Linked DNA regions of Pelodiscus sinensis. The protein of the gene in region 1 purifies or fractionates together with the protein of each later gene. This does not show direct contact. Links are inferred from orthologs where the notes say so. Each region holds a gene or a part of one and is shown on either strand. Other genes may lie near its edges. The genes, in order: TOR1AIP2 and CUL4A.

Evidence for each region.
Region 2: the proteins of TOR1AIP2 (region 1) and CUL4A purify together in Homo sapiens (affinity purification with mass spectrometry; 4 studies listed by BioGRID, with this or other methods). This does not show direct contact. The link is inferred for Pelodiscus sinensis from reciprocal best matches to the Homo sapiens genes TOR1AIP2 and CUL4A.

The regions. Positions count from the first base shown.
Region 1 is NC_134719.1:59,454,313-59,470,055, reverse strand, and holds the start of TOR1AIP2 (torsin-1A-interacting protein 2), read right to left. Parts: upstream 7,686-15,743; 5' UTR 7,515-7,685; intron 6,509-7,514; 5' UTR 6,394-6,508; coding exon 6,360-6,393; intron 1,013-6,359; coding exon 422-1,012; intron 1-421. Other genes in the region: torsin-1A-interacting protein 1, read left to right, coding at 15,075-15,150. UniProt on the Homo sapiens protein: Required for endoplasmic reticulum integrity. Regulates the distribution of TOR1A between the endoplasmic reticulum and the nuclear envelope as well as induces TOR1A, TOR1B and TOR3A ATPase activity.
Region 2 is NC_134711.1:237,493,002-237,508,439, forward strand, and holds the start of CUL4A (cullin-4A), read right to left. Parts: upstream 6,962-15,438; 5' UTR 6,398-6,961; coding exon 6,244-6,397; intron 3,532-6,243; coding exon 3,416-3,531; intron 1-3,415. Other genes in the region: PCID2 (PCI domain-containing protein 2), read left to right, coding at 12,407-12,442. UniProt on the Homo sapiens protein: Core component of multiple cullin-RING-based E3 ubiquitin-protein ligase complexes which mediate the ubiquitination of target proteins. As a scaffold protein may contribute to catalysis through positioning of the substrate and the ubiquitin-conjugating enzyme.

The DNA.
Region 1 (15,743 bases):
CCCAATGGAAAATTGGGGTTTCACTGAGATGAAACGATTCATAACCAACACTCCTAACTGCGGCGGAGACTTTCAACTTTTTGTTGGATAAAACAAACATGGAAAAAACAAAAATTTTAGGGGTTTTTTTTTTTTTTTTTGCAGTTAAAACTCCACATTTTCCACAGAGCCAAACCTCACATGCTGACCCATTGTAGAAGCAACCTGCTTGACTCTCAGGTCAGAATGAGTCTGCAGGGCTGACAATCTGAGAAAACATCTTCCGACTTGCACACCCGGCACGTGTGATCTGCCCCCCTCGACTGAGAGACCAACCCCTCGATGCTGTTCTTGCAAAGGCCATACGTTACATTGGAGGCCACGGATCTGCAGAGACCTCAAACGTGGCAGCCCCTTGTCGTGCAATCTATTGTTGACTCACCTGCAGTCAAATGTCTCTTCTTCACTGTGTCCTGGAGTCTCTCTCCTTCCTTGTTTGAGGTAGTTTCTCCTGTTGGGTCCAGGAAGTCTGCAGATGACAGTGCGGGTTCTTGCATGGCGGGATCCTGTAGCTCTCCTCTGAGAGTGGTTACATCGCTCTCCTCTTCTATTGTGGGTTCCTCTGGGATGTTCTCCTCCACAGCAGCTAGCACTGAATGCACTTTCTTTTCACCTAATGAAGATACCGCGTCTTTCTCCGGGGAGCAGTCTGGTAACTTCATTGGGCTTGGAGGACATCTTGTGGTAAGGTTCAGAAGGCCTGGAGATTCCACAGGGTATGTTTTCAGAGAAATGCCATCAGAACTCACTGGTCTTTCCTCTGATGAAAGCTCTTCGCCGACTGTTAGAGGGCTTCCAGACACACAGCTCGTCTCTTGAGGGCCTAGCGTTTCTATTTCTGGAGAGGCTTGCAGTTGGACAGCACCAGAATCCTCCACCACCTTTTCTTGACCGGTCCTCGGTGCATTTTCAGTCTCTTGGGCCTGGGAAGTCTTCTCCATCACTTGTCTCCTCCATTCTTGAGCTGGGCAAACTGGTGGGATCAAAAAGTCAAAAGCTGTTTATGTTTTTACTATAATAATCAAGAATATTGAGTTGCCTACAGGGCTGGCCCACAATATTTTGGCACCTGAGGCGGGGAGCTCAAATGACGTCCCTATGCCCCCTCGCTTGGGCCAAAACTTTGAAAGGTTTCAATTCTGCCCTCCTTCCTCTAGCACAGCACTCCCCCATCTCTGTGCATCTAGAGCAGAGAGAATATATCTGCACCAGCAGCAGACACAATTTTCTACTCTCTGGGTCTTAGTGGCGCCCCCCCACAGTCTGGCACCTGAGGCGGACACCTCAGTTTGCCTCAGGGTAAGGCCAGCCCTGGTTGCCTACTAGTATTCTACAATCTCCCACCAAAACTCCTAATCCTATACACTCCAACACTTGACACACAAGAATGGGGACTCGAGGTTCCCATAACCCCTCACCCCCAGTGACCTACATTGGGACATCTTCATAGAGATCTCAAGCTGGCCACTAAATGTATGCCTGCCACTCTACAAATACAATAAATGGTTCACGCTCGTGGCCCTGAAAAGATTGGGTGCTGGCTATTTTAGAAATGTACCCCTTTTCTATGGTACACACCCAGCTGTTGAGACATACAATTGAAATGTAAATGCCAACGGACAATTTTCTTCCACTATTTGATCTGAAGAAGTGGGTCTGGCCCACGAAAGCTCATCACCTATTAAACCATCTTGTTAGTCTTTAAAGTGCTACATAGTCCTGTTTTTTGTTTCATGGAGAGTTCTAAATGCTGAAGAGTCCCTTGACTTTGAAAATATAATTCATTAAATTGCAGGATATGTCATAAGGCCTGACTATGTATCTGGGGCTTTCCAAGTTGGTAGGGCAAGGAGAAGAGGATGTATATTATGTTTTGTGGTTTGGGGAGCAGGGGCAGATGACTGTTTTGCGGGGCCCCGGGCAGCGTAATTCTACAGGGCCCACCCTTTGCCACGGCGCATGCACGGGGCTTTTTGAAGCGTGGGGCCCGGGGCAGCCACCCCGTTCGCCCTGCCCTATATCTGCCCCTGTTGGGGAGTTTCTACTCATGGTACTGACATGATAGCAGATTGAGCCGAGTGATTGCAAACCTTTTCTTTGCAATTATATTAACAAAATATAACTTGTTTCTGCTGTATTCAAGGTCTTTATCTGTTGCCTTTCTGTGGCTGGTCTAGCAAAGAATTGAGGTGTGCTTGTAGAAACGGAAATTTAAAGCAAATATTAGAGAATATTTTCACAGAGGAAGTTTTGGACTTGTAAATATGAGTATTTGCCAGGAACCTGAATCTTAGACTTCCAAGGAGAGAACAAACAAATATAAGTGAGCTATAGGTTCCAGCAAAACTATCTGACATAGTTAAGATTTTAAATATTGAACATTTGCACAACCTGTTCACAAAAAATCTGCTGATCAAGAATTATCATATGGAAATTAGCCAGCAACTAATTTTTAATTCAGAATAAATCTGACAAAACTGTAAGATGCTCCCAGATAACTCAAGGCCAGGGGAAAATGTAACTGTGTTGAATGCAACTATTTAGTATGAATTACTCACTGAATTCCATTAGTATCAGTTTGGATTGGATACAATGATCTTGTGTGTTCAGGGGGAAGGACTGTCATTGATCCGTTTTACACTACTGCAGTGGTTCTCACACTTATCTGATTCTCCCCCCCATTATGTCTTTAGTGGTTTATGCCCCCTTTCCACCATGCCAGTACCAATAAAAATAATCAACATGCAACTCGCATTAAACAGAACAAACAGTAAGGCACTGATTCAAACAAAGCCAGTGATCCTTTGTAACGAGAGCAAAAGCAACACTGCGATTTTGGTTGAGGCTTATAATCAAATGTGCACCCCATGTCATGGCAAATGGATTAGCTTTCAGATAGGGATGTAAAATCCTCTTTAATTAGTTAACTGGTTAAACACTATGTTTAACCAGTTAACTCATTAAATGGGGACAGGCTGGAGTAGGGATGTAATAGTACAGTCGATTAACTGATGAGCAAAAGCTTACTGATTAATGTTATAGACTATACATTCCCTTCCCCCGCCCCCCCCTCCCCCGGCCAGTAAATTTTTTTAGCAGGCTGGCAAGTAGCCTGGCTCAGTTCTGGCTCGCACTGGATCCAGAAGATCAGAGCCCACCCTGGACAGGGGCTGCTGCCTCTGATACAGAGGCAGCAGCGCAGGATGACAGGCGACTGGTCCGCAAGGAGAGCTGGTTTTTAAACCGGCTCCCCTTGCGGACCAGCTCCCGCCTGGCACCCCACGCTGCTGCCTCTGATACAGAGGCAGCAGCACACAGTGATGGGGGGCTCCTCAGTAGTGGGGCTGGAGCGCACTGGCTGCCAGCCCCACCCCCAGGGACTATAGAATAGCCATGTAACCGATAAGAATTCATGAGGTTAATTGACTATTCAATTAACTGATATTTAACGTCTCTAGGCTGGAGCAACCCTCCATCCGCCGCAACTGAGCTGGAGTGCCTCTCTCCGCAGTGCTGGGCCAGGCCCAGGGCGGGCCCTGCAGAACTGGAGTAGCCCTCTGCCTGCAGTGGTTGTGGGGCTGCTCTAACCCCCACCGGTCAACTGGTTAACCATTCACATCCCTACTTTCAAATGGCAAAGACTTTGTATAATGCTATGCAGGCTTAACAGAAATCTTTCAACATGCACAGCACCAGCTAGAGCCAATGCACAGGGCCATCTGAGGGCCTGATATGTCTGGAGGAATGGACTTTGCTAGTTATTCAAGGCTGGGGGATAAACGTGCACGTCACAGAGATATCGCAGAAATACATTCCTTGCCTCCCCCCGTTTGAAAACTTCTGCGCAACAGAATAAAAGGACAGAGTATACATAGAAAAAAAAATTAAATGGGCCATCTAAGCTGGCTTCTGAATACCCAGGTTGTGCACATGTAGAGTTGGGATCGTTCTGTTTTCCATATGCAAAAGCTGGGTCCGGCAAGCTTGTGTAGAACAGTTGGCCTATTGTGTGACCAGCTATAATCTCCTGATCTCTGAGTTCTGTAGAATTTGGATCTCAGAACTGATCCAAGTCATCTTTGTGTGGACAATATGGCCCCTACAGAGCTCCTGGACTAAGTTCCCTGTAAGCTGCTTGACTGTGCAGCAGCCTGTTTAGCGCCATGCAGGCACGCAGGGAACCCAGCCCAGGTGGACCTGCGGTGGCCTGAGGAATGACACTCCCTCCCACAGCCTGATCCTAGCCCAGCTCCGAGCTGCCACTGCCACGAGACAGGCACCCCTCCCCCAGCCCAAACCTAACCTGGCTCCCAATCTGTCACAGTTGGGGCTAGCACCCATCCCACAGCCCCAGCTGTGACAGATTGGGAGCCATGGTGGGGAGAGTTGCCTTTCCTTTCCAGCCCAGGTGCTGCTGGGGGGTCCTTGCTCCTTGCTATAGCCCCAGGGCAGCCTGCACCTCAGACTCCTCATCCCTGACCCCACCCCAGGTCCTGCACTCCCAGCTGGAGCCATACACCCCTACACCTCAATGCTCTGCCCCTGGTCTGAGTAGGCTTGCCAGATGCTTTCACCAAAAATCCCAAACACGTCAGGAAAAAAACTTGGTTGAGCAAAAAAAAAAAAAAAAAACCCCAACAACCAGGAGAACAACAACAACAAAAAAGTCACTGCGCCTTTAAGAATCCCTGTGCTCCTTGCTTCACCCTCGCCCACACCAATGCAGCAGGGGAAGAATGTCCCCGCCAGCCTTCCATCCAAGAAAAACAGAAAATACTGGACATTTTACATGTCCGGTATTTTCTGTTGGTTTTTTTTTTTACCAGACAGGGGCCAGAAATAACAGACTGTCCGTGTGAAAACCAGACACCTGGCAACCCTAGGCCTGAGTCTCCTCCTGCACTCTGAACCCCCTCAGTCCCACCCCCACTACATGACTTTTGTTATGGGCACCAATAGAGCGGTGATGTGTATCATATTCCCCTCCATATTGGGGCATGTGACAAAAGCAATTCCTCACGTGTGTGGAAAACTTAGAGGGAACCCGGGTCCTGGAACAATTTGTATAGTGGGGGGTGCTGAGAGCCATTGACTCAAACTACAGACGTCATGGAAACCACTTCAAGCCAGGAGGTACAGCAGCAGCATCCCCCGAATTCCAGCCCCTATGTTTCCCTAAGTCCACTGCGTGCTCACTTTTTAAACATAACCATATTCATGTACTTTGGGAAACTGGGAACGTTAAATTCAGCTCTGCTTCCATTATTATGCAGTAGAGGCCACTTTACCCCAAATACTGGCCAGGGGGCAGGCCTGCTGCTGTGGGGAGGGGGAGAGGGAATAGGGCAGTTGCCCTGGGGCCCAGAGCTTCAAAGGAGCCCAGGGGCTCTTAGCCACCACTGCTACTACTGCTACTTTAAATCGCTTGGGGTGGTTCTATGGGATGGGGGGGGCGTGGCTTATTCTGCGTCGCATGGAGGCCCCGCCCCTTCCAGGAGCCCAGAGCCTTCCACACACACCTCCGCCAGGGAGGCTATTGGCATTCCTGCCTGTGGGACCCTACATGCCCATGCCCCTTGTGATAAGAATTTCATTTAAGGGCTTGAAGCTTGATTATTTTAGAGGTCAGGAAGAAATCCCCTCTATCGTCCACAGAGGTAGCTGAGTTCGGTCCCTGGACTGAGTTTGTGCTTGGAAGTGCAGGGAGGAAGGGGTTCTTTTGTTCTGAAGCACGGAGCATTGATCATGGAAAGAATCACGAGGTTAAGTATCCATGGTGTTGTCAACCCAGGGACTTGTTCTTATCGGACTCAGAAATTCAGAAGACTGGGTTTGCTTTAAGCATACGATCAGGCCAGTAGGGATTTTCCTGGGTTTTCTTTTTAGTGAACTGGACATAGAGAAATGAAACAAAGGTGGTTTTTCCTGTTCAGGTTTTAGTTTCGTTTCAGAGATTTTCTCTTTTAGTGTGTCTGGAAATGCAGTTTCCATCTTGGGGCTATAGCAGTGGAGACCTGCATGTAATCGACCCCCTTCATCACAAGCCTCCGAATTTCAAGGAGAACTCTGTTTAAACACAGATGCCCCAGCACACTTATTGCAGCAGCTTAAATGCCCACACACACAAACACCCCTCTCCCTGACTCTCGCCCAACCCTGCAAGCCGACACCCATGGTGCTGCCACCCTATTCTTAAAGGGCCAGCTCCCATTACTTTTATTAGAACACTAGTAACAGGGACTAATACAACAATAAACAAATAGTCAACTTTATTACTAAATAGAAACCTATTTCTAAAGCATCTCCTTCAGCAAACTTACCCTGAGGAGACTCTTGGTCTCCATTTTCTGCCATTCTCTTGTTCTGGTGTTTGGCCTCTTTGCTAGATTGTTACACTTCCTGGTTAAGTCATACAGATGCCTGCTATCTTCTTTCTGGTCAGCGTAGCTTGACTGTTCGCAGCCAGCTCCTGGACACAAAGAGACTAAAGCAATGACTCATAGTGGGAAACTTGAGAGCCTCCCCACCCCCAAAGCCCCTTCAAAGCTGTGAGGCGCAGTGTGAGGCGTTTACCTTTATTATGATGAAATGTACCAAGATGCAGCTTGGATAATCAGTGATATCTGAGGACGTTAGGCCTCGTGCTGTTAACAATCAGCTCATGTGACTGAAAAGGTGTTCAGCCGAGTCTCTCTGGGCGATCTTTAATTGTGTGACGGTAACTCGACTGGAGAAAATACCTTTTGTGCCCATGTACACCAAGCGGGAGCCCTTATGTCTGAATCCCATTGGTGGGAGGATGATGGGGGAAGTTGCACGGTACCTGCCTTTGGTCCGAGTCTCCAAGGCTGTTGCACCAGCAATTTCATCCACTCTTTAAAAGATGTTTGAATCACTCAGACTATAAGTCGTGGGGGGAAGGGCAGGGTGTTGAAGGGAAAAGGAGGAATGTCTCTCCACCAGCCACGCGGCAAGAATGTGACCCCACCTTTTGAACATGTCACAACAGCGCAAAGCGAGGCAAGGACACAAATACCGGAGGAGAGTGACGGGGGGGTCAGTTTCTTCACATCATAAAGTTTCCTGTTGTTTCAGTTTAAAGATGGTGCATTTTGTGATGCTAATCATGTGAAGTCAGGCAGCAACAGTGAGCAATGTAACCTGTTTAAGGATCTGTATGCAAATGAGCAGCAGTCTGTGCCTAACACAGAGTGCCTAACACAGAGTCTAAGAAGATATTTCCTCACACCAGATGGCCTGTCGCCTCTATTGTCATGCCCTCTAACTGACTGCAGCACCGTATTTGGAGTTAATCAAAACTGTATGGAGGCAAGTAGTCAGACCTACAGCTCACTCCCAGGAATTTCTGCCCTCTGCCCCCACCCCACCGGCATTTGAATCTTCCTCTGTGTTATCAGAAAGATCAGGAAATGAGGAACTAAAAGTAGCTCTGCTGTGCAGAGCTGAACACTTACTTGTAGTTTGCAGCAGTGCTTAGCAGCTATTTCGTAGCAGAGGGATTGTTACAGGCAGACCCAAGCTGCTCCCTACCACAGACATCCCAACGGCCCTTCAGTTTCCATGCTGGAGGGAAAACAGATCCTTTCCTCTCAAATACACCCACCCATAAACTCTTAATCCTCCCACTGTCAACGTGACAGTGAACCTTGCACCCATCCAGGGCGCCATCGTGGAATGCTGGGATATGTAGTTCTCCCCCCTCTCTTTGATTATGGCCATGTTGCTTTGAATGAATAGTCCTACATCAGTTAGTGCTGGAGTGGGGAACCTTTTTTTGCGTCGGGGGCCGCACACAAGTGAGAAGCAAAACAAAGAGTAAACAAACAAACAAAACCCCTCACAGACGTAGCCCCGCACTGAGAAGGAGAACAACACTCCCCACATTCTCCTCACACACCAGAGCCTAGGGGATCCCCAGCTAGTAGAGTTTGTGTGCTTCAGCTCTAGGGTTGCCAGGTGTCCGGTTTTGAACCAGACAGTCCAGTATTTGAGCTTTCTGTCCGGGAAACAAATTGAGAAGATACCAGACATACACATTTTCTAATTAAGTAAGTTTTATTATTATCATGAGTATTAGTACGTAGCTGCGTACTGCCTGGCTGGTAGACATGCTCACACTGCGTGAGCGTGTCTACCAGCCAGGCAACGCAGCTACACAGTAGAGAGGAGGGGAGCGGGGTCAGGGCGGGATGGAATCCCTGGGGCCGGAATCGCTCATGCGCCCTGCCGGGACCCTGCGCAGGATGGGCAGCACCCCGGGATCTGCGTGCGTCCAGGCCAGCCCCGCTCCATGCCAGCCAGTTATCCCCCTGCTTCCCCTGACCCCCTCCTGGCCAGCCCTGCTCCCTGCCGGCTGGTTCCCCTCAAATCTCCCCCAGTCAACCCTGCTCTCCCCGACCTCCTCCCAGCCAGCCCCACTCCCACCGACTCCCTCCCAGCTAGCCCTGCTTCCCGCTGGCTGGTCCCACACCCCAATCTCCCTCAGTCAGCCTCGCTCTCCCCAGCCCCCTCCAGTTCTGAGATCAAGTGTGTCTGGAATTTTTTTGAAGCCATCTGGTAACCCTATCCAGCTCCCAGTGCTGGGGAGGGGGAGCCCTGAGCCTTAGTGGCTGCATCCGGGCATTAGGTTCCCCACCCGTGAGTTAGTGGTTTTGTTCTGATTACAAATATAATTATTTTCAGGAAGTAACTCCTCTGTTTGGACTTACCGAACTCTACAATTGTACAGAGCATCCTTCAAACAGAGTGTATCTGAAACCAGTTTGGAACCAGTGAAATGGTAGAATTACATTCATATAATCATTTTCGGGCAAATTCCAAAGAAACGTAGCCTCCTTGCAGCTCAAGCACTACTCAGCTCAGTCTCTAGCTAGGACCCTAGGTGGGTCTGGCTGGATGTTCAGTCTGTCTCCGTCACTCGTGACCTCACCACATAACCAAATTCCCAATTGTAGATTACCGCCAGCTCAAGATTACTCTATCTGGATGGGACACTTAAGAGGCATCATAGACTGTGCTGGAGGATGCTCGAAAGATGTGGATGCTTGTATAGCAGCACCTGCTGCCAAATGTGCCCTTCAGTGGTCTTTGTGGAGACGCCATGACATCAAGCTTGCTACGAAGTTGCAGACTTAATAGAACTAGAGTTACACCAACTTTATTGTACAGCAGAGAAGCAGGGCACTATGGAAGACTGAAGAGAGTGGATTGATTGTTTTGATTCGTCATCAGCTGCTCCATAGTAAGTGGCAAACCAAGATCAACAATGAGGATACTCAGAATTAAACCCAGCAACTGTATCTTTCAGCCTAGGTGGCTTCCTGGGTGCCGACCTATTCTTAGGATGGAAGGCCAATTAACAGAATTACAGCAGAGGGAGAAAGTATTAAGAGGCATAAGACAAGGGAAAAAGAGGTGATTTATGTAAAAGCAAAGATTTATGTACAGCACTGGCACAATGGGAGCCTGATTTGGTCTGGACCAATAGTACTACATAGTACAAATGACAAGTAATCTGTGGTTGCTTTTTTTTTTTTTTTTTTTTTCAATTACACAGGCCAGTGTAAAACAGCAAGTAGGAAAGACAAATCAGAGAAGCCAAGATTTATTAGGTTTTTTTTTCTGGAACCCAAACCAGCCCCATTTAGAAAATAAATTGTCCCGTTGGCCTTCCTGACATATGGCCACATTATTAAGCTAGCCTTGTACAAACTAGGCTCCAGGGTCGAGCAGCTTCAGTGTAAAAGGTGGAATTTTTCAAATGTTATAACTTGGGATATAATATTGCTACATGCATTTTCCCATGATGAGAGGTCTTAATTTTTAAATTATATCTCACAGGGCATATTTTGTGCAAAGATTATTACAGTAGCGTTTAGGGAGAGAATACAGGAGTACATTTGATCACACATACTTGAAAATATAAAGCTAAACAGTTTTTGAATTACTGGCAATTATAACTATTCTAATTGGAAATGTTGGCTTGTCTAATTTTGTCTCCCTCTAGCAAAATTACAATTTTTCACAATCCGTTGGGGGTGGGGGGGGGGGGGGGGGTTGCTAGGTGTATATATTGTCGCTTAGCAATGTTAACTTTTTTAAAGCAAAGGTTTTTGGATTTTATTTTAGAAATATAACAAGCTAGAAAAGGATCAATAGATCACTTTGTATCACAGAAGTCTGCTTGATTACACAGAGCGTATCTTGAAATGCTGCTTTTCATTTACAGTCAGTAACCACATAATTTAATTCTTGTAAAGCCCTTGGAGACTTTTGGATGAAGGTAAAATGGAAAGATTTTACCTGCACATTTACCGGATGACTGAAAGATTACGAATCAGTCATTTACTAGCTCTTTCTATCTGACTTAAATCAGAATAAATAGCTCTGTGGACTTTAAAACATCTCGATTAGGTGATTATCTCTGTAACACTCTGTTGTGCTGCTTAATGAAACATAAAGCTCATCTTATTTGCTCTCCTATTCCATCTTAAAAGAATGACAGTTCATACATTTGGGCCTGGCACAGAAGGCATGCATAATTTACGTAACACATTTTCCCTTGCTTCTAAACAAAATTTGAACTTCAAGAGAACACTTGTACAACACTATTAAACATTTTTTTCTTCTTTAATAAACATCAGACTTGAGAGGTAGAGAGGCTAGGAAGTGAGAAAAGTTGTTGTCCCACATTCTTACGAAGTGCTCAGAGCATGTCCGTGTCTCCTTAAATAATTTACAATGTTCCAGGATGAAAAAAAAGGCATCAGCCTAAATAAGATGGACTTTGCTGTAGGAATGAGGTGCTGTCTTCCTCCCTTCCCCCAGTCCCTCCCAGGTTTAGTAAAATAAAAACCCTTTAGGACCTCTTCATTTTATAGTTAAATCAGCCTTGCCTAAATCATTTGTATATACGTTGTGTGCTGTATTTGCTCAAATCTATATGAGAAAAATAAATCTAATAATGATCGTCAGCACCCTCCTTAGGTGGTTGTGGAGCCTGGAACAACACCCTCTCCTCCCCCCACAGGGCCAGCCCACTACATTTTGGCAACTGCGGCGGGGAGTTCAAATGATGCCCCCTTTTCTCCTGCCTGCCTGTTGTCTCTTGTGCCCTCCTTCCTCCAGCACATCACTTCACCATCTCTGTGCATCTAGAGTAGAGAGAATACATCTGCACCAGCAGCAGACACAATTTTCTACACTTTGGGTTCTAGTGGCGCCCCCCCCCCCCCCCCCCAGTCTGGCACCTGAGGCAGCCGCCTCAGTTCGCCTCATAGTAAGGCCAGCCCTGCCTCTGCCCCTGCCTCCGTCCCCACTCCAACCCTCGTCCCTGCTCCACTCCTCCCCCACCTCTGCCTGAACCAACACTGCCTCCTCCCAAGCAACATGGCCTGGGGAATTACTGGGGGGCCATTACCCCCCTTGTACTCCTGTGGTGGTGGGAAGCAGAATAACCTGGCCCTAGCCTGCTCTACTCCCTGGCTACGTCTTCACTAGCACCCTTTTCCGGAAATGCTTAAAACGGAACAGTTTTCCGTTTTAAGTATTTCCGGAAAAAGCGTGTCTACATTGGCAGGATGCTTTTCTGGAAAAGCACTTTTTCCGGAAAAGCGTCCGTGGCCAATCTAGACGCGCTTTTCCACAAAAAAGCCCCGATCGTCATTTTTGCGATCGAGGCTTTTTTGCGGAAAACACTACTGTGCTGTCTAGACTGGCCCTTTTCTGGAACAGTTTTCCGGAAAAGGACTTTTGCCCGAACAGGAGCAGCATAGTTTTTCCAGAAAAGCACTGATGATTTTACAGTAGATCGTCAGTGCTTTTCTGGAAATTCAAGGGGCCAGTGTAGACAGCTGGCAAGTTATTCCGGAAAAGCGACTGATTTTCCGGAATAAGTGGCCAGTGCAGACACAGCCCCCGAGCCCAGCTTCAAGCCCTGTTGCTCAGGAGACTGGAGGAGGTTAGGACTCTGGCACCTACTTCCGCCTAGGAGATGGCGAAGCAGAGCGTGCTGAGGCTGGACTGCTTCGCTTCCTGTGGCTCCCACGCTCCCTGGTGAGTACGGGGCTGGGCCCGACCCTGCTACTGTCCCAGAACCCCTGGGTAATCACCGAGGCTGCCCTGACATCATAGGGTTCCCCAAAATGCAGGGCTCGGGGCCACCCCAACCATTCTATGGATGAGATAGCTCTGATGATCTTGAATTTACATCATATCTTGTATCCAGATTGATCCCAGATAACATTATATGCTGTACTTGTAAACCACCCTGGGTGCTGTGTGTCATTAAAAATTGTATTTATAAAAATCAAACTTCCATACTATTTGTTACAGGAAAGGAATAATTAGAACTGTTGATTAATCATAGATAACTCACACAATTAACTCAAAATTAATCACAATTAAAAATTAATTGTGCTTAATCACACTGTTAAACAACAGACTACCACATGAAATGTATTAAATATTTTGGATGCTTTTTTAAATTTTCAGATATATTGATTTGTATTATGACACAGAATACAAAGCGTGCAGTGCTCACTTTATATGGTTACATTTGATTACTATCATTGGCACTCTAAAAATGATAATAGTATTTTTCAATTCACCTCATACAAGCACTGTAGTGCAATCTCTTTATCATGAAAGTGTAATTTAAAAATGTAGATTGTTTTGTTGCATAACTGCACTCAAAAACAAAACAATGTAAAACTTTAGAGCCTACAGATTCATTTAGGTTGAACAAGAGGTAGAACTAACGCAAAGAAAAGCAAGTTTTTTTACATCTATGGGAGATACTGCTACCAGCTTCTTATTTCAGAGGACCTCCTTCCATGCTTATGATGGATTCTGCTTGATAACAAGGTTTCATATTATTTTATTTTTGAATGCTGTTACTTTTTGTACATAATTCTATCTTGGTAAGTTAAACCCCCACGATAAAGAGATTGCACTACGGTACTTGTATCAGTTGAATGAAAAATACTATTTATTTTGTTTTTTTACAGTGCAAATATTTTAATAAAGTGAACACTTTGTATTCACTTTGTATTCTATGTTGTAATTGAGAGCAGTATATTTGCAAATGAAGATAACATCCACAAGTATTTAAATAAATGGTAAACTTAAAAAACAACCAATAGTTTAGCAGCACCTTAAAGACTAACAAAACATGTAGATGATATCATGAGTTTTCGTTGGTACAACCCACTTCTGCTGTTGTACCCACAAAAGCTCATACCATCTACATGTTTTGTTAGTCTTTAAGGTGCTGGTAGGCTGATTGGTTTTTTTAAAGTTTTTCCAGTTACAGACTAACTCAGCTACCCCTCTGAAGCTAAATAAATGGTTTTCTATTATTAACAACATAATTAATCACAATTACATTTTTAACCAATTGACAATCTTAGGAAAAACAATATATACATTTATGTTAATTTCATTGTTTTTAATCTCATAACTCTTTTGCACAACATATTAGTGATTTGCAATCGCATCAACCCCCACAGGTAGATATTTCGTTAATCCCATTTTATGGCAAAATTGAAGTACTCCTAGGCACCAACCCAAAAAATGCTTATATGTAGAAGTTGCTACATATATGTGAGTAGCTCCATTGACTTTAATGGGGCTTCTCATGTGAGTTGGGTTTAGTGTGTGTGAAACCGCTTGTTCAAGTACAGGCAGAAAAGCTATGACAAAAGCACTCTGGACTCCCAGTCCTTTGCCTGTCTCATTGCCTTCTCCCTGCTTGTGGCTGTAGCTTTTCCATTTCTCTCAAAGGGCCATGTGGAGACAGGTCAATTTCACTTTTGTTGCTAGTCACTTTCATAGCCCATTCCTCCCAAGCTTGTTTAAAACAAACTATGGGGACCAACTGAGAAGCTTCCCAGAACCATCTCCCTGCCCCCAACTATCATAAGTGCTAGACTTTCCAAAGCTACATGTGGGGGGCCCTGTTGGCCAAGAGCCTCCAGCAGCACTGCTGGGACTGGAGGAGCCCGTTTTAAAACCTATTTCAGAGGCTAGAGTGCTGCAAACTCTTAGGGCAAGGAGCTATCCTGCTTCCACCTCCCCAGAAATCACTGGGGCAGCAGCTCCCAGTGTCCCTTTTCAATTGGTGCTGGAACTAAGGGCGTTGGTGCACCTCCCAGGGCCTGAAGTGGTTTTCATCCCATCCAGGGTTTACACTTTGCTTCACTAGCTCTCAGCCCCCTACCCCACTGCGCAAACTCCTCGCCCCTCGCTTTGCCCCTGCCGCCTGGAGAATGGGGCTAAGGCAAGTCCACGGGAAAGGGGACAGTGCCAGCCCCTGCTCTGTGGGAGAAGGGGACAGAAAGCGAGGGAGGGAGAGGGGAGAAAGGGGGGATAGAGGGGGCGGGGGCCAGAAAGGGGGGAGGGAGAGGGGGCGGGGACAGAAAGGGGGGAGGGAGAGGGGATAAAGGGGGTGGGGACAAAGCGGGGGAGGGGAAAAGTGGGGATAGAGGGAGCAGGGACAGAAAGGGGGAGAGAGAGGGGGAAAAGGGCGGATGGGGGGCAGGGACAGAAAGGGGAAGGGAGAGGGGGGAAAAGGGGAATGGGGGGGCGGGGACAGAAATCGGCCGGGAAGGGAGGATAGCGGGGAGGGGGTAGAGGGGGCGATAGGGGGCGGGGACCAGCCCCAGCTGTTGACAGCTGCGGGGCAGAACAGGGGCTGAGAGCTAAGCAAAGAGCGAGCGCAGCTGTGACACGGTGCTGTATCACGTGACTTCCAGTCCAGCGGGGAGGGCTCGCGGGAAAAGCCCTGCAAGAGAAGCGGCCCTCCCCGCAGACTTCCGCCCTTCAACATGGCCGACAGGAAGTGAGGCTTTCAGGAAAGCGAAGCCAATCACCTAGTTGCGACGGCAGCGGCTTCCGCCCCGGAAGAGCAAGGGCGTGTCCGGACGGAAACGCGGCCGGCGGGGGAGGCGTTCCGCGCGGCGGGAGAACGCGCCGAGAGCCGTCTCGCGCCTGAGCTCCGGGCAGCCACCGCCGAGATGCAGACGCGACGAAGAGCCGCGGCCGGGGCCAAGGAGCCGGAGCCCAGGCGGCGGGGCGCCGAGGCCTCGGAACGTGAGTGACTGAGGAGCCGTTGCTGATCCCGCGACGCGCCCTCTGCTTGAGGGCGCAGGGGAGGGGGGACCCCGACGAGGGGTGGCCGAGCCCCCCTTGGGGGAGCTGCCGCGCTCTGCCCCCCGCTGCGGGGCGGGGCCATCGCCGGGGGGGTTTCCTTGCCCCGCGCCCGGCTTCTCCTGGCCGTTAAACGGTTCCCTTGAGACCGTTGCCAGCTGAGGCGGGCGGGGGGGCCGAGGGGGCGCCCGGGCTCTACCATGTGACCGGCCCATCTGACCAGCAGGCACCTCGGGTTTAGGCAAATTAGCCTCTGAGGGGCCGGGGCCGGGCGGCTCTGGAAAGCGGCCTGACAGCGGCTTTGTTTTGCGCCCCGCTTCGTTCCCTTCCGCTCCCTGCTGCGTCCGCGCGGGCAGCGGGTGGCGCCTGTTCACCTCAACTGGAAACAGCCCCCCGGGCTCCGGCAGCTCTGTGCAGACTCCCCGAGCGTGGGGAGGGGTCGCGAGCGTTCGTGGGCGCAGCCCGGGTTGCTATTCCACGTGTTACTGTTGAGCAGGCAGGGAAGAGATGTGGCCCGAGCTCAGTCAGCCCGGGCG
Region 2 (15,438 bases), on another chromosome or scaffold:
TTGATGTAGTTTGGCTCTTTGGTTTGAAAAGGTTGCCGAGCCCTGCCATACACGTTGATTGTGCCTCAGGATACGGGGGTAGGGAGGAGAGGTGAGAGGAGAGCAAATGACTCTCAAGGTCCCCTCCAGCCTCACCTGTCCATGACTCTATATTAGAAAATCACCAGCTCTACAGTGAAGGAACTACAAAACATCTGAAAAGCACTTCTGTTTATTTTTATTTTTAGCTTAACTGAAGGCTCAGATACATGATGAAGACTGAAACTTCAGATATAGCACAACTATTATATCTACTAGAGATGTTAGATATGTGTTAATTGAGTAGTCGAGTAACTGCATGAATTCTTATCAGTTACTCGTCTATTCTATAGTCCCCAGTGGGTGGGGCTGGCAGTCAGTGCGCTCTGGTCCCACTCCCAGGAAGCCCCTGCTACTTCATGCTACTGCCTCTGTATTAGAGGCAGCAGCGCTGGGTGCCAGGCGGGAACTGGTCCCCGAGGGGAGCCAGTTTAAAAACCAGCTCCACGCACAGACCAACTGCTTGCTGCCCCACACTGCTGCCTCTGATATAGAGGGTGGCAGAAGCCCCAGTCTGCGGGGGATCCAAGCTCCCCACAAACAATGGTTTCTTCCACTCCTGCTGCCCTTGATACAGAGGCAGCAGAGGAAGGAGGGTAAATGTGTGCAGCTGACAAGATTAACTGATAAGCCTAGTTAATGGTATAGTCAACTACACATTGACAACTCTAATTTCTACATATCACTTTTTAAAAAAATTTCCAGCTAAATATTTTAACAAACACCATAGGTTTAGGCATCATTATTGCAAGTTCTTTCCATGTTTTAACACATAATGACTGGTTTTAATTAGATTTCTCTTATCAGGAATTATCTACACTAATCAATAACAAACCTAAAATATAAAAGATGATTATAACTTTTGGTTACGTGGCAGACCAACCTATTTAACATATTGGGTTTCTGTAGACCTACTGGCTTCCGTTCATAATGAGTAAAGACCACAAAGATCCAGGGGAAAAAGACCCTATATGTACAAGTTCCATCAGGCAATTAAAATGATCCGTAACCACATTTCTAGTCAGAGCTAAATTATCCTCTCTTTCCTTCCCTAAATAAATAAACAAGCGTGCACAGAAACATACAGTGGAAACTTGCTAATTAGCACTGATGACTAGAAGATCTGTTATGAACTGCCATTATGAATTAAGTTTTGCACATTAGTGCACAAACAGGTGAAACTACAGTTTCCTTGCTTCTTATTTTATGATGTATACAAAAATCCATCCTGCCCCTTTCTTCCCACACATCAAAATTCTTGTCCAGGCCTTGATGATTTCATGCCAATGCAACTATAATCTCCTCCTAACATTTGAAAACAAGTCCAATGAAATTACAAACGCCTGGACTTGTGTCAAATAATGCATAAAAACATGATCATAAAACTTTTAAATATGGACCTATGTTATTCAACTGGAATGTGCGCTTACAAAGCCCAGTATTTAAATAATGCACAGTTAAATTGTCTTATTTAAAGAATTAACTACATTATTTTATTTTAAATATAGTAATGGATTAAATAAACTATGTTTAGAACAATATGTTAAATATCCCCATGAGATTAGGGAGTAAAGGGCAATCTTTACCCATAATTATTATTTTTAGGTCTTTGACATTCACACCTAATGCACACTGCTAGGTTCTCAGCATGCTCCCTGCTAATAACTCTACAGAACTCCAATGAAAGCTGTAGACCACTTCCAGTGATATGCAATTTCTGAGACCATGATACTGCAAAGAGTACAGCCCAGCAAAAATGTGAATGTCCACCTTATATCCACAGATGTGGATGCAGATGTCTGCAGACCATATTTGTAGACTGGATGCAGATACAAGTTTTGTATCCCTAGAGGGCTATAGCAATGTTTAACACATGTCCAAGTAGAAACTCATTCATTTCAGTTGCACAGTATCATGAGCTTTCTCAGGCACAATCCATTTCATCTCAAGAAGTGGGTCGTGCCCACAAAAGTTCATGATACTATTTATATTTTTGTTAGTCTCTAAGGGTATGTCTACACTACCCCGCTAATTCGAACTAGCGGGGTAATGTAGGCATACCGCAATTGCAAATGAAGCCTGGGATTTGAATTTCCCAAGCTTCATTTGCATAAGCCGGGCGCCGCCATTTTTAAATCCCGGCTGGTTCGAACCCCGTGCCGCGCGGCTACACGCGGCACGAACTAGGTAGTTCGAACTAGGCTTCCTAGTTCGAACTACCGTTACTCCTCATTCCACGAGGAGTAACGGTAGTTCGAACTAGGAAGCCTAGTTCGAACTACCTAGTTCGTGCCGCGTGTAGCCGCGCGGCACGGGGTTCGAACCAGCCGGGATTTAAAAATGGCGGCGCCCGGCTTATGCAAATGAAGCCCGGGAAATTCAAATCCCGGGCTTCATTTGCAATTGCGGTATGCCTACATTACCCCGCTAGTTCGAATTAGCGGGGTAGTGTAGACATACCCTAAGGTGCTGCAGGACCATTCGCTGTTTTTTAAGTTTTCTTCTAAATGTGAAATGATACTTTGTTGCCCACTCAGTCAGTACTAAGAGTGTTGAGACTCTGAAAATTAATTGTGACAATGAATATTGTAACATTGTTATCCTTTTTCATGGAAGCAGGGCCGGCCCACAACATTTTGGCACCTGAGGCAGGGAGCTCAAATGACATCCCCATGCCACCTTTTCTTCTGCCTGCCTGTTAGGTCTCTTGTGCCCTCCTTCCTCCAGAACAGCACTCCACCATCTCTGTGCATTTAGAGCAGAGAAAATACGTATGCACCAGCAGCAGACAATTTTCTACACTCTGGGTCCTAGTGGTGCCCCCCGCCCCTCAGTTCACCTCAAGGTAAGACCAGCCCTGCATGGCAGGTCACAGCATGCAAATAAGAGAACCAGTTATTACTAGGACTCTGAGTACCTGCATACTCTAATGAGCATAACATCTCATTTCAGCATACAGAATCAGCAGAGATTGGAAGAGTACTACAACTTATAGTCTCTGCCCTTTGTCCCTCATTCTGACTCCTGCCAAAATACATGCTTCCATAGCCTTCAATATGACTAGCATTAGTTAGATGAACCCTAATCCTGCTAGTGCTCCATTATTCCAGAAAATTCCAAGGAGAACATTTGGGAAGTCACTGATCTGGAATATGATAAACATGTTAGGAACAGAACATTGAACTGATCCGTAGTCAGAACAATATGCACTGTAAACATAAAAATCCCATTTACATTTCCACTGTTTAGGACCATGAAAATTCTAAAGAAATCAGTATTATATTCTACCATTTTCCTAGTTTTTCTAAAAAATACAACACAAAAACTTGTCTCTTACCTGGTAAAGATCTTCAAGATTGTATTTAATAGAGGTGCTACTTTGTATAGCTCTCACTGCTTCATCAAGCTTCTGCCAAGTGTCCTGAGTGTAATTATCAGGCAATTTAGGTCTTTCTGTAAAACCAGTTAGAGGTAAGTGGAAAACTGAACCATCAGTTAGGGAAGCAAAAATCCCATTTAAAATGTTAACAAGATAAACATATAACATCAGGGGTTGCTCCAGCCAAGCCGGGCAGGGCTTGCCACACTGCACCACAGGCAGGATACTGCTCCAGCATGCTGGACTGCTCCCCGTCCGCTGTGCAGCGACCTGGCCAGGCTAGAGCAGCCCCTTGTCCGTGGCGCACTGCTGGTGGGGTTGCTCCAACCAGGCTGTACACCAGTTAACTAGCCACTCAGTAAGCATCACCTCACTGGGTGATGCTTACCAGTAACCGGTTACCTGTCTACATCCCTATAACCAATACGAGTTATGTCTTTTTAAATACTATTTAATAAGGTGACAGACACATTGGGTTTCACTTCACACTTTAAGCTTGATTTAAAAAAAAAAAAGGAATATTTGCAATACCATATAACATTGGCAAAAGCCACTAAGGGCTGTTTTTATCTCAGAATGGTGCATACAAAGGCCCAGCTGCCACAAGTTGTTTTACATGGGCTGCTCCTCTTCACATACACAGATCCCCAATAAAATACATCTGCACAGATAGAAGAGCCTGCATGATCCTGGACAACATTTGTTAAACATGTCCAAGAATACTATTTCAGAATGCACTAATGACTAATTAAGTATTACAATTTAAGATTTTTTTATTTAATAAAGCTTAATTTAGCATTCCAAATTCTAGCAAATTAGTTTGGTCTACTGCAACATCTTCGACACCATTCTTAATTAGCTTTAACACTGTCTATACTAGTTTTATTTCAATATATTTTCTTTAAAAAGTATCTGACCGCCAAACCATTGCTATACGTTATCTCTAACTACACTGCATGTAATAGAACTTTCTACACATAACATATATTTGATTTCAGAACTTGCTCTTAACTGAAACGTTAGAAAGACTGCAACACAAACTGTTATACAGAAACTGCATCACTTAGCTGAAAAGGCAATACTAAGACAGTACAGTAGCCAGACACTGGACTTGTCTGACAGAATGGTTGGGTTCTGTTGCCATCTACATCACTGATGTGCTGTGTGACCATCAACAAATCACTTCACTTTTTTATGCCTCATTTCCTAGGAGTGTAATAGTATAGTCAATAATCGATAAGCAAAAGCTTATAGATAATTGCTATAGACTATGTGCATTCCCCACCCCAACCCCGACAGTAAATTTTTTAGCAGCTCAGCTCAGTCCTGGCTTGTGCTGGGTCCAGGACCAACCCCTGCTACAGCTCTGCATTTGAAGTGTATTAGTAGCCGGGTGGGCAGGCAGCCCAGCTCAGTCCAGGCTTTCACTAGTCTGGAACCAACCCCCTCTGTGGCTCTGAATTTAAAGTGTATTAGGAGCCAGGCGGGCAGGCAGACTGGCCCAGTTCCGGCTCATACTGGGTCTGGGAGTTCAGACACACACACACACACGCACAGTCAGGGGCTGCTGCCATCCCGCGCTGCTGTCTCTGTGTGAGAAGCAGCAGCACAGGGTGACAGGCAGCCAGTCAGTGAGGGGAGATGGTTTTTAAACTGGCCTCCCTCATGGACCAGCCCCCGCCTGGCACCCCACGCTGCTGCCAAGGGGCTCCTCAGGAGTGGGGCTAAAGCACGCTGGTTGCTGGCCCGGCTCCTGGGGACTATAAAATAGTCAAGTAATCGAAAAGAACTCATGAGGTTAATCAACTGCTCAATTAACCGATATTTAACATCCTTATCATATCTCCTATCTGTAAGACAGTAGCAGTGATGCTGGAACCAGAAGTGATGGAAGTGCTCTGGCATCCCAGGCTATGACTATTAACAACAAACACCAAATACAGGGCTTCCATCATACACATTCCTAACTACAAAAAATTGTTCCAGCCCCTTGGGTAAGATTAGCCTGTCTTTGGGAGCAACAGATGAGGGTCCCTTAGGATTGCCAGGTGTCTGGTTTTGAACCGGACAGTCCAGTATTTGAGCTTTCTGTTAAGGAAACAAATTGAGAAAATACAAATGAGAAAGTATAAATGTCCGGTATTTTCTAAATAAGATGTAATGTAGATTGTGATGTAATGTCAAGTGTGTCCAGTATTTTTGTTGAAACCATCTGGCAATGCTAGGGCCCCTAGGCTCAGAACCTCGCATATGTAAGTCAGCTGAATTAACTTCCTTGGGGCTACAGGATCAGGCCCTTGTCTGCCAAAAAAAGTCACTGCCTATACATAGGAGCAGGCTGAGTAAGAGCCCTTGTAGCTGTTGAGACAAAAGTTAGCGGAGTTAAGGCCTTTTCACAGTCACTTTCCAGAGCAAACCCAGCCTGGCACCTATTTCTTGGGGAGGAAGGAACTAGAGCAGCCCCGACACCACCCCACCTCGGGAGCGGCGCTGCTCTCAGAGGGTGCAGGCTGCACGGGCTCCCGGGGCTCGAGCTGGAGGCTGCACAGCGCCCCCAAACCACAGGGTGGGCCGGGCACCTGGGCTGGCTCCCCCGCCTGTCAGTGTGCGCAGCAGCCCGCAGCCAGGGCCCCTCCCAGCCGGGCCCGGCGGCCCCCTCAGCGGGGAAGGGGCGGGGGCAGCAGGGGGCCGAGGTCAGGGCCGCGGGGTCCACCGGGGGCCCGGCCGGGAGGGGGGCTGGACACGGGACGCCTCGAGCCGCCGCCCGCTCCCCGGCCCAGGCCCACCTCTGAAGTTCTTGATCACGAGTTTCTTGGAGGCGGCGGCGGCGGCAGCAGCGCCCCCGGCCCGGGCTGCCGCCAGCGCGGCGGGCTTGGTGAGCCCGTTGGTGTGTTCCCCCAGCGCCGGCAGGTGCGGCTTCCTCTGCGGCTCGCCGGCCATGGCCGCCCCCTGCGCGCTGCCCGGCCTCGGCCGCCTGCTGGCAGCGGCTGCGGAGAGTCACCGCCAGCCCGGCCTCCCCCCGCGGCGCCCCGGCTCCGGGGGCCCCATCAACCCCGCCCCGCTGGCGAGGGGGAGGGCGACAGGCCGCGGCTGCAGCCGGCTCCGCGCACAAGATGGCCCCCGAGGCGGCCGGGCAGGGGATTCGCGGGGGAGCGGAGGCGCCTGCGGGGCGGCCCCTGGCTGGACTCGGACCCTTCCGCGGCGGGGCGGGCGGGAGAGCAGTTCCGGCCCGGGGACACAGTGAGAGGAGGCGTCGCTGGGCTCCCCCTGGAGGCCCAGGAGAAAGCGAAGGGGTCTCGAGGCTGGCGCAGGCTGGGAGCACGGGGCCCAGGGCGAGCAGCGGGGAGCGCCCCGCTCGGCGTCTTTCCTCCCGGCCCTTCTCCGCGGACCCCGCTGGGAGCGGTTTCCAGCCGCGTTACTTCAGCCCGGTGAAGGAGCAGCACTGAGGCGCTCCATGTTTTTCAAGCGGCCTTAGTTGACCTAGGCACCGGGTTGTCAGTTTAGGTTGGCCGGATTTCTGGAGACTTCATCACATGACCTGTAATCTTTCATTCAAGCTTAGTCTTTAATTCTTGGGAGACCCCAGGCAAATCAGGGAGGGTTGGCAAGTTTCAGCGTAGCTGTCATTCTTTTGCTATTCTGTTCAGATTAGCCAGTAGGCACAGTGCCTAGGGCCTATGAAAAATTTAGGGCCTAAAAAAAAAAATCATAATTGACTCAAAAATAAGAAAACTACTAAGTCACACTTAATAATTTGCTATTTGTATTAGAATATACATTCAAATTTTGAACATCATTAAACACAGGTGTATTAAATCTTTAGTCAACAAACAATATAAGAACTAGTGGTCACCAAGTGAAATTAATAGGCAGCAGGTTTAAATCAAACAAAAGGAAGTTTTTTCTTCACTCAGCACACAGTCAACCTATGGAACTCCTTGCCAGAGGATGTGGTGAAGGCTAGAATTTTAACAGGATTCAAAAAAGAGCTAGATAGATTCATGGAGGTTAGGTCCATCGATGGCTATTAGCCAGGATGGGTAGGAATGGTGTTCCTAGTCTCTGTTTCCCTGGAGGTGGGTGACAGGAACAAGGAAGGAATCACATCAGGATTACCTGTTGTGTTCCCCCCTCCCCCATGACATCTGGTATTGGCCACTGTCGGCAGACAAGATACTGGGCTGGATGGACTATTGGTCTGACCCAGTATGGCCGTTCTTATGTTCTTATATGATAGTGGTCTATAAAATCATGACTGACATGGAGAAAGTAAATAAGGAAATCTATGTACAGTAAAACTCCATTGGTCCGGCATCCAAAGCTCTGGCACTCCTGATGGTCTGGCACCATCAGGAACCCGGAAGTGCTCCGGGCAGCCGGACAATTGGAGCTGCTCTGTGCCGGGCTTCCCCAATTCAGCCGCTGCTGAAAATGACCAACAACTGAATCGGGGAAGCCGGGGACAGAGCAGCTGGGGTGCTGCCGGGTTGGTCCCATAGCGTGGCCCCTCGGCGCTGCGGGACCAACCTGGCAGCACCCCAGCTGCTCTGGCCCAGACGTCCCCGATTCAGCTGCTGCTAAAACTGATCAGCAGCGTCTGAATCGGGGATCCCTGGGGCAGAGCCGGACTATCCGAAGGGGGGGCTATGAGGGGTCTGGGGTGGCATTCCCCCCACCCCAGACCCCTCATAGCCCCCCCCTTCTGATAGTCCGGCATATTTGATAATCCAGTACCCCCTGGGTCCTAAAGGTGCCGGATTATCGGAAGTTTACTGTACTTGTTCTTATAACACAAGAATTAGGGGTCATCAAATGAAATAGGTAGCAGGTTTAAGACAAGCAAAAGGAAGTATTTCTTCACACAGCACATGGAATTCCTTTCCAGAGGATGTTGTGAAGACCAGACTTTAAAGGGGTTCGAAAACTAGATAAAATTCATGGAGGATAGGTTCATCAATGACTACTAGCCAGCATGGACAGGAATGGTGTCTCTAACCTCTGTTTGTCAGAGCGTTGGGAATGAGCGACAGAATGGATCACTTGGTGATCCTGTTCTGTTTAGGGTTGTAAGTGACTAATCAACCAGTTGACTATTCGATAAGCAAAAGCCTATCAAATAGTCAACTAGTCACTCCCCTCCTCTTCCCCCCCCCCCCCCCCCCGGCTTGCTGCCTTTATCACAAAGAGGCAGCAAGGGAAGGGAAGAGAATGCGGGTGCTGGAGGGAGCCGGCTTAAAAGCTGGTTCCCTCTAGCTCCGAGGAAGGGGGCAGGAGTGCAGCTAACTTTGAAAAGTACAAGAGTCCCTGATGGGGCTCTTGTACATTTCAAAGTGGAAGTGCCACATGGAGCCTGGGGTAAGTGGGAGACTCAGAATCCCACACTGGCCCCAGGCTCCACATGGTCGCTTCCGCTTTGAAATGCACAAGAGCCCCCACTGGGGTTCTTGTGCATTTTAAAGTTGGAATGCTGCATAGAGCCTGGGACCAGGCTCCAGGTGGCATGCCAGCTTTGAAATGTACAAGAGTCCCTAGCAGGGGTCCCCCGTTGACCCCAGGGCTTCCACTTTGAAAAGCACAAGAGCTCCCACTGGGGTTCTTGTACATTTCAAAGGAGGAACGTGGAAGTTCTTATCGACTAATCGAATAGTCGATGGAAATCCCATCAACTATTCAATTAATTAATCAAAATTTAACATCCTTAGTTTTGTTCACTTCCTCTGGGACACCTCTCTTTGGCCACTATTGGAAGACAGGATACTGGGCTAGATGGACCTTTGTCTGACCCAGTATGACTGTTCTTATATAGGTACCTGAGGTGGTTATGTAACACCATGCATCTTGTGAATAAAACTGGCCAAGATAAAAAAAGTTCATACTATTCATCCTATTAAAGACAAAGTCCAACATTTCTTGGAGTTCTAGTTTCCTCTTCTCAGCCTGAAACACATCTTAATTTTCAGAGTGATGAACACCCACTAAATGAAATGGTGTCTCTGACAAGAAGGGCCCAGGGCTTCACTAGCTGTTTGTTGTTGTTGTTGTTTTAATTTCCCACTCTTGCTATGGTTGTAGCAGCTTAAAAAATAGTGAATATAGGAGCACAGGTATAGACCAACCCATGTTTTAACCATCATGTCATCTAAATCTACTCAGAGCAGATGTAGACAGCACACTGTTTAAAATCAGCACTCTTACCATAGAAGAAGCTGTATCAATAATAACAACAGTAGAGAACTGGACATTTTTTATGTTTATGGTCATTTGTGAAATTTTTTACCTTAATGTACCATGAAGGGTGTTAATAATAGGATGTAAAAGTTTAAATGGTTAACTGATACTAGGCTTACTGTTAACCAGATCTTACCCCTTAACCCTGGCCACATCAGGCTGGCCAGCCAGAGACCCTAGCCCTGGCCACTTCAAGCATGTAGGTAGGGCCCTGGCTGCAGTGGGTAATATAACTCATGGGGCTTCTGCCCCAACCACAGTGGCCAGCCAGGACCCAAGAGACAATGGTCAGGCCTGCTAGCAGAACCTCTGCCATGGAACAGGCAGGCAGGATCCTGGTCACAGCCATGTTGGAGCAGCCCCAGCCCAGCCCCATCCGTAGGTAATAGGCAGGACCTCAAACATGTCTGCAGTCCCAGCTGCAGTGGGCAGGAGTAGCCTCACTCCTGTCCATGGCTTGCAGGTGAGACCCCAGCCCTATCCACAGAGTGCCAGCCAGCCTAGAACAGCTGTGGGCTGTATCTGGCCAGCCCCACTGGGGGTGTGTCTAGACTACAGTGGTTTGTCGACAAAAGTCCACTTTTGTCGACAAAACTATACCTGCGTCCGCACTGCCACTGAGTTCTGTCGACAGCTGTAAACCTCATTCTACGAGGAATAACACCTTTTGTCGACAGAGTTTTGTCGACAGAAGGCATTATTGCATCTACACTGTCCTTTGCGTCCACACTGTCATGTCGACAAAGTGGCTTGCTTTGTCGACAGAACTGGATGTAGTCTAGACGCTCTTTGTCGACAGAAGCTTTGTCGACAGTATCTGTTGACAAAACTTTTGTTGACAAAAGCCTGTAGTCTAGACGTACCCTGGAACGCCAGTCCTGGCTACTCTTAGCCAGCTCACCGAAGCAATCTCAGTTCACTAGTTAAATGATATAATTTTAATTGTTTAAATGGTTAACTTTTTAAACTAATATTTACATCCCGAGTTAATAGGCCACCTCACCTTGAATGGTCCCTTGAAATATGTACTAACTACTTGTGCTGAACAATCTGTTTCAACTTGTATATAGCTGAGGCACTGAATACATTTCCCAGACCAGAAGAAAAGCTCTGTAATTTAAAAGCTTGTGTATCACCCAGTAAGAGATGGATCCAATAAGTGATATTACTTAACGCAGGCCCGGCAAAAGAGTTTGCAGGGTCCAAGGCAGCATGCTGTGGTTGGCTGCACTGCGTGGCTGGGCAGCACCCAGCCAGGGTAGTGAGCGGGTGGGCGGGCACTGGGTAGTGCAGGGCCCTGAAGGCACATGGCTCAAGGCAACTGCGTTGCCCACCTTGCCCTAAGGCTGGGCCTGACTTACCCACTGGTTTTGAACCAGATGTATACGTAATCCTGAAGATATGGAATAATCTCTCAGAGGGTGCATCAACATATCTAGTTATTCACCTAGTTTTACAACAGGCTACATAAAAAATGCTAGCAAAGTCAGTATAAACTCAACCTTCATACAACTATTTTAGGGATGTAAAATCCCAGTTAATTAGACGGTTAAACATTAGGTTAATCTAACATTTAACTGGTTAACTAATTAAGCAGTATCTGGGTAGGGGCTGGGGCTTTTACTGGCTCCCAGCTCTTGGCCCCTAAGCCCCGCCAGCCCCTGTTGAGGATGGACAGGGTTCCCCGCGCACAGTGGCTGCTCCAGACATTGGTGCAGTCCCTGCCTGTGAGGTGCCCAGGCTTGCCATGGATGGGGGGATGTTCTGCCCGAGAGCAGCTCCTGTCCACAGCCAGCCCCCTGTGGGACTGGAGTAGCCACCTGCCTATGGCAGGCGAGCAGCTGCTCCAGCCCCCACCAGTTATTGGTTAATCTTTCACATCCCCAGTTTATACTACTATCTATACTATACATTGTAAAACAAAAGGAAAAAATACATAGCACTTTAAAGATTAACGAGATAGTTTATTAGCTTCAGGGGGTAGCCTAGTTAGTCTGTTACAGGAAAAAAATGGTCTGGTAGCGCTTTATAGACTAACAAAATATGCAGATGGTATGTTAGTCTTTAAAATGCTACCTATTTTTTTCTTTTGTTTTACCACGATCAGACTAACACGGCTACCAATCTATTACTTTTATACAGTGTAAGTAATATGTTCCACTGGATGTGTCTTGTACGGTTAAAGTGGGAAAGCAGGCCATTTTCCAGGCATCTTGCGGTGTAGCACTTGTGGGTTTCACGCCGCTTTTGCCTAGTTACAGTTTGTCACAGCCCCTTTTGCTCGCACAGGGCGGGACAGTCTCCAACAGGCGGGAGGCACCGCCCCCTTTGCCCTCCAGCGCGAACAAGAACAACAGGGAGGGGAGGGGTGCGACGAGTCACGTGAGCGCCTTGCTGGGGCCTGGTGTCACGTGCGAAGCGGGCGCGCCGTGAGGGAGGCGGAAGCGCGGAGCTCTTGCCCCGCCTGCGGGGTGCGCTGGAGTGAGGCGCGAGCGGCGGCGCGAGGCCAGTGAGTGCGCGCGGGGGAGGCGGGTAGAGCGCGTCCTGGGACCCCCTCCCCCCCCCGCCACTCTTCCTGCGTCTGGCGCTGGCCCCGCGGGTGGGATGGGGCGGGGAGGGTCTTTAGAGCTGCTCGTTTCGCGGTGACGCTTCTGTTTCCTCTGCAGCGAAGCACACGCCCCCCCCCCCCTCCTGATCCCCAGCATCGGCCCGGGTCTGCCCATGGCGCACATCACCATCAACCAGTATTTGCAGCAGGTAAGCGGCTTTGTCCCCCCCCCACCCCCCGTTCCCTTGCTCTTGCTACAGGCACGTTGCCCTGCTGCTGAAAAGGCAAGCGAGGCTATGGGAGGGGATAACTAGGGAAGCTTCTTCTAGGGCAGGGATGAAAGCAGAGCAGCATTTGTTTCATGTGGCGCTTCAATGTGCGGAGGCCGAGATAACGACGTAAGCCCCCCAGTCCTGTGATAAGATCTGTTAGCGCGGGCTCTGGCATCTTTACCAAGTCCTCTTGTGACTTCAGTGGGCTTTGCCAGCCCAGATAGACAGCGTTGCACTAGCCCAGTTCAAGCGCTAAATCCAATATCACGGCTAGTGCAGCACAGGGGGTAACTCAGGCTCTCCTGTTTCCCCACCCCTGCCACCGAGTTAGGTGGAGATAAGCCCAAGTCTCCATTTAGCCCACAATTTCCATACTGCTGTTTTTACTGTTACCTGAATCCCTGCTAGCATTACTCTGTTGCCCCAGGCTGAGAGGCTTGATATAAAGATTCCTTCTCTATCAGATGTAACACACGCTTATTTAAGCACCTTCATGAGACATGTCAACTTGATCAGTTCCATAAAAGGAGCCAAAAGTTAAATATTAATTGTTCAAGTCCTTTTCCCAGTTGCTGTGGTTTCAGTCATGTTTTTCTGTCTTTAGGAAAGGGTTTTCTCTGTGTTTCTGAGTGACAGATCCATACTACTATAGAAAATTTAATATAAATAAATGAATCAATATGTTGGCAAATGCATGAAGTAAAATTGTAAAAAGGAAGCATTTAATCTGTTACTTAAAATGTCATTTAAAGTAATACGAGGGAAAACATTGTGTGACATTTTAAAAATTGATCATATCCCTTTAAATAGTCATTGAAATTTAAATCTCAGGCTCTGTTGTCAGGCTTCTTAACTGTAATAACAGCCGTGCTAGATTACTGTCACATTCTCTATCATATTTTCATAGTTTTAGATTTTGCTATTGAGCATTTTGCTTTAAATATTTTCAGAGAATGCTTTCTTTAAAAAAGATGAAGTCAATATAGAGCTGAACTCATTGATTGCATGTGCACTATACTTAACTGTTTAATAATGCTTTATATCATTGCTAATATTCTTTATTGACTTTAGGACTAATTTGGTTTCTGCTAATGATATGGAAGTGGGAATATATTTCCCTGAATAGTGTAGACAAGAATACAGGCAGTCCCCGGGTTACGTACAAGATAGGGACTGTAGGTTTGTTCTTAAGTTGAATCTGTATGTAAGTCGGAACTGGCGTCCAGATTCAGCCGCTGCTGAAACTGACCGCCAGTTCTGACTTGCATACAGAATCAACTTAAGAACCCCAGGCGTCCCCAAGTCAGCTGCTGCTGAAACTGATCAGCAGCTGATTCCAGGAAGCCTGGGGCAGAGCAACTCTGCCTCGGGCTTCCTGTAGTCAGCGCTGGTCAGTTTCAGCAGAAGCTGACTTGGGGACGCCTGGGGCAGAGCAGCTGGGGTGCTGCTGGGTTGCTCCAGTAGCGCTGCTCCTCGGTGCTACTGGACCAACCCAGCAGCACCCCATCAGCTCTGCCCCAGGCGTCCTGATTCAGCCGCTGCTGAAACTGACCAGCAGTGGCTGAATCAGGACCTGGGGCAGAGCAGCTGGGGTGCTGCCAGGTTGGTCCAGTAGTGCCCAGAGCGGCGCTGCAGGACCAATCGGCAGCGCCCCAGCTGCTCTTCCTCAGGGTCCAAAACAAAAGCCTGGTCTGCTGGGGGGGGGCACACTAGCTGCGCCCCCCCTCCCCAGCAGACCAGGGACACGGGGAGCAGAGCCGCAGCGGCAGCGGGGTGCCGCGCCTCTGAGGCTTTGCTCTGGCAAAGTCTCAGAGGCGCGGGAACCCGCCGCGGCTGCAGCTTCAGTCCCGGTGCCTGTGGTCTGCTGGGGACGGTCCCCAGCAGACCACAGGCACCGGGACTGAAGCGGCAGCAGCGGCGGTTCCCCGCGCTTCTGAGGCTTTGCTCTGGCAAAGCCTCAGAAGCGCGGGAACCCGCCCGGTGCCCCTGGTCTGCTGGAGACGGTCTCCAGCAGACCAGGGGCACCGGAGCAGCTTACGAACGGGGCTTTCTCGCCCCGGAGCTCGCAGGTAGCAATCCGCCACCTTGACCTCCGGGGCGAGAAAGCCCTGTTCGTAAGTGCGGATCCGACATAAGTCGGATCCGCGTAAGTCGGGGACTGCCTGTAATGCTATGTACGCAATCCTATATCCCATCCATACCCAAAACTCTAAAGGGTGTGTCTACACTGCACTCATAGCTTGAAATAATTGGGTAGCTTATTGCAAGTCAGTTTTGAAATAGCTTATTTTGATTTTTGGCGCTGTCTACACAGCACTTATTTTGATATAAATTGTTATTCCAAAATGTCCCTTACTCCTTGTGGAATAAGGTTTACAGGGACATTGGAATAGTGAGCTCATTATATTTCAAAATAACAGGCGTGCTCCAAAGATGCGGAATACCTATTTTGGGATACCCAGGGTATCCCATAATAGTGCTGCAGTGTAGACCAAGCCTAATTGACTTAAATGAGTTCACAAAGATACTCAGGTCCAGTCATGTAGCTCCTGCTTAAGAAAAACTGCCCATTGATGTGAAAGGGAAGATGTTTTGAGTAGGGAAGGCAGGATTAGTTTTTTTATTAGTTTATGTTATTAAATACTAATATGCATGTGAAATACGTTTGAGTCCTTATTAATTAAACCCAAACTATCCTTCCTTTCAGCAACTCCAACAATAAAATATAACTTGATTTATGCCCACAATTTTCCTTTTAATTTATAGAAATCTGTCTACAGATATACAAAGTTTTAAAATTCTACAGCCAGCAAACCCATATAGTTGTCTTGGGAGGTCACTGATCTGAGCTACTTTGTATAGCTAAGGAAAAATAAAGATGTCTGATTTTTTCCTGGTTGACGAATTTTAATGTGTCTTCCAAATTTAGCCAG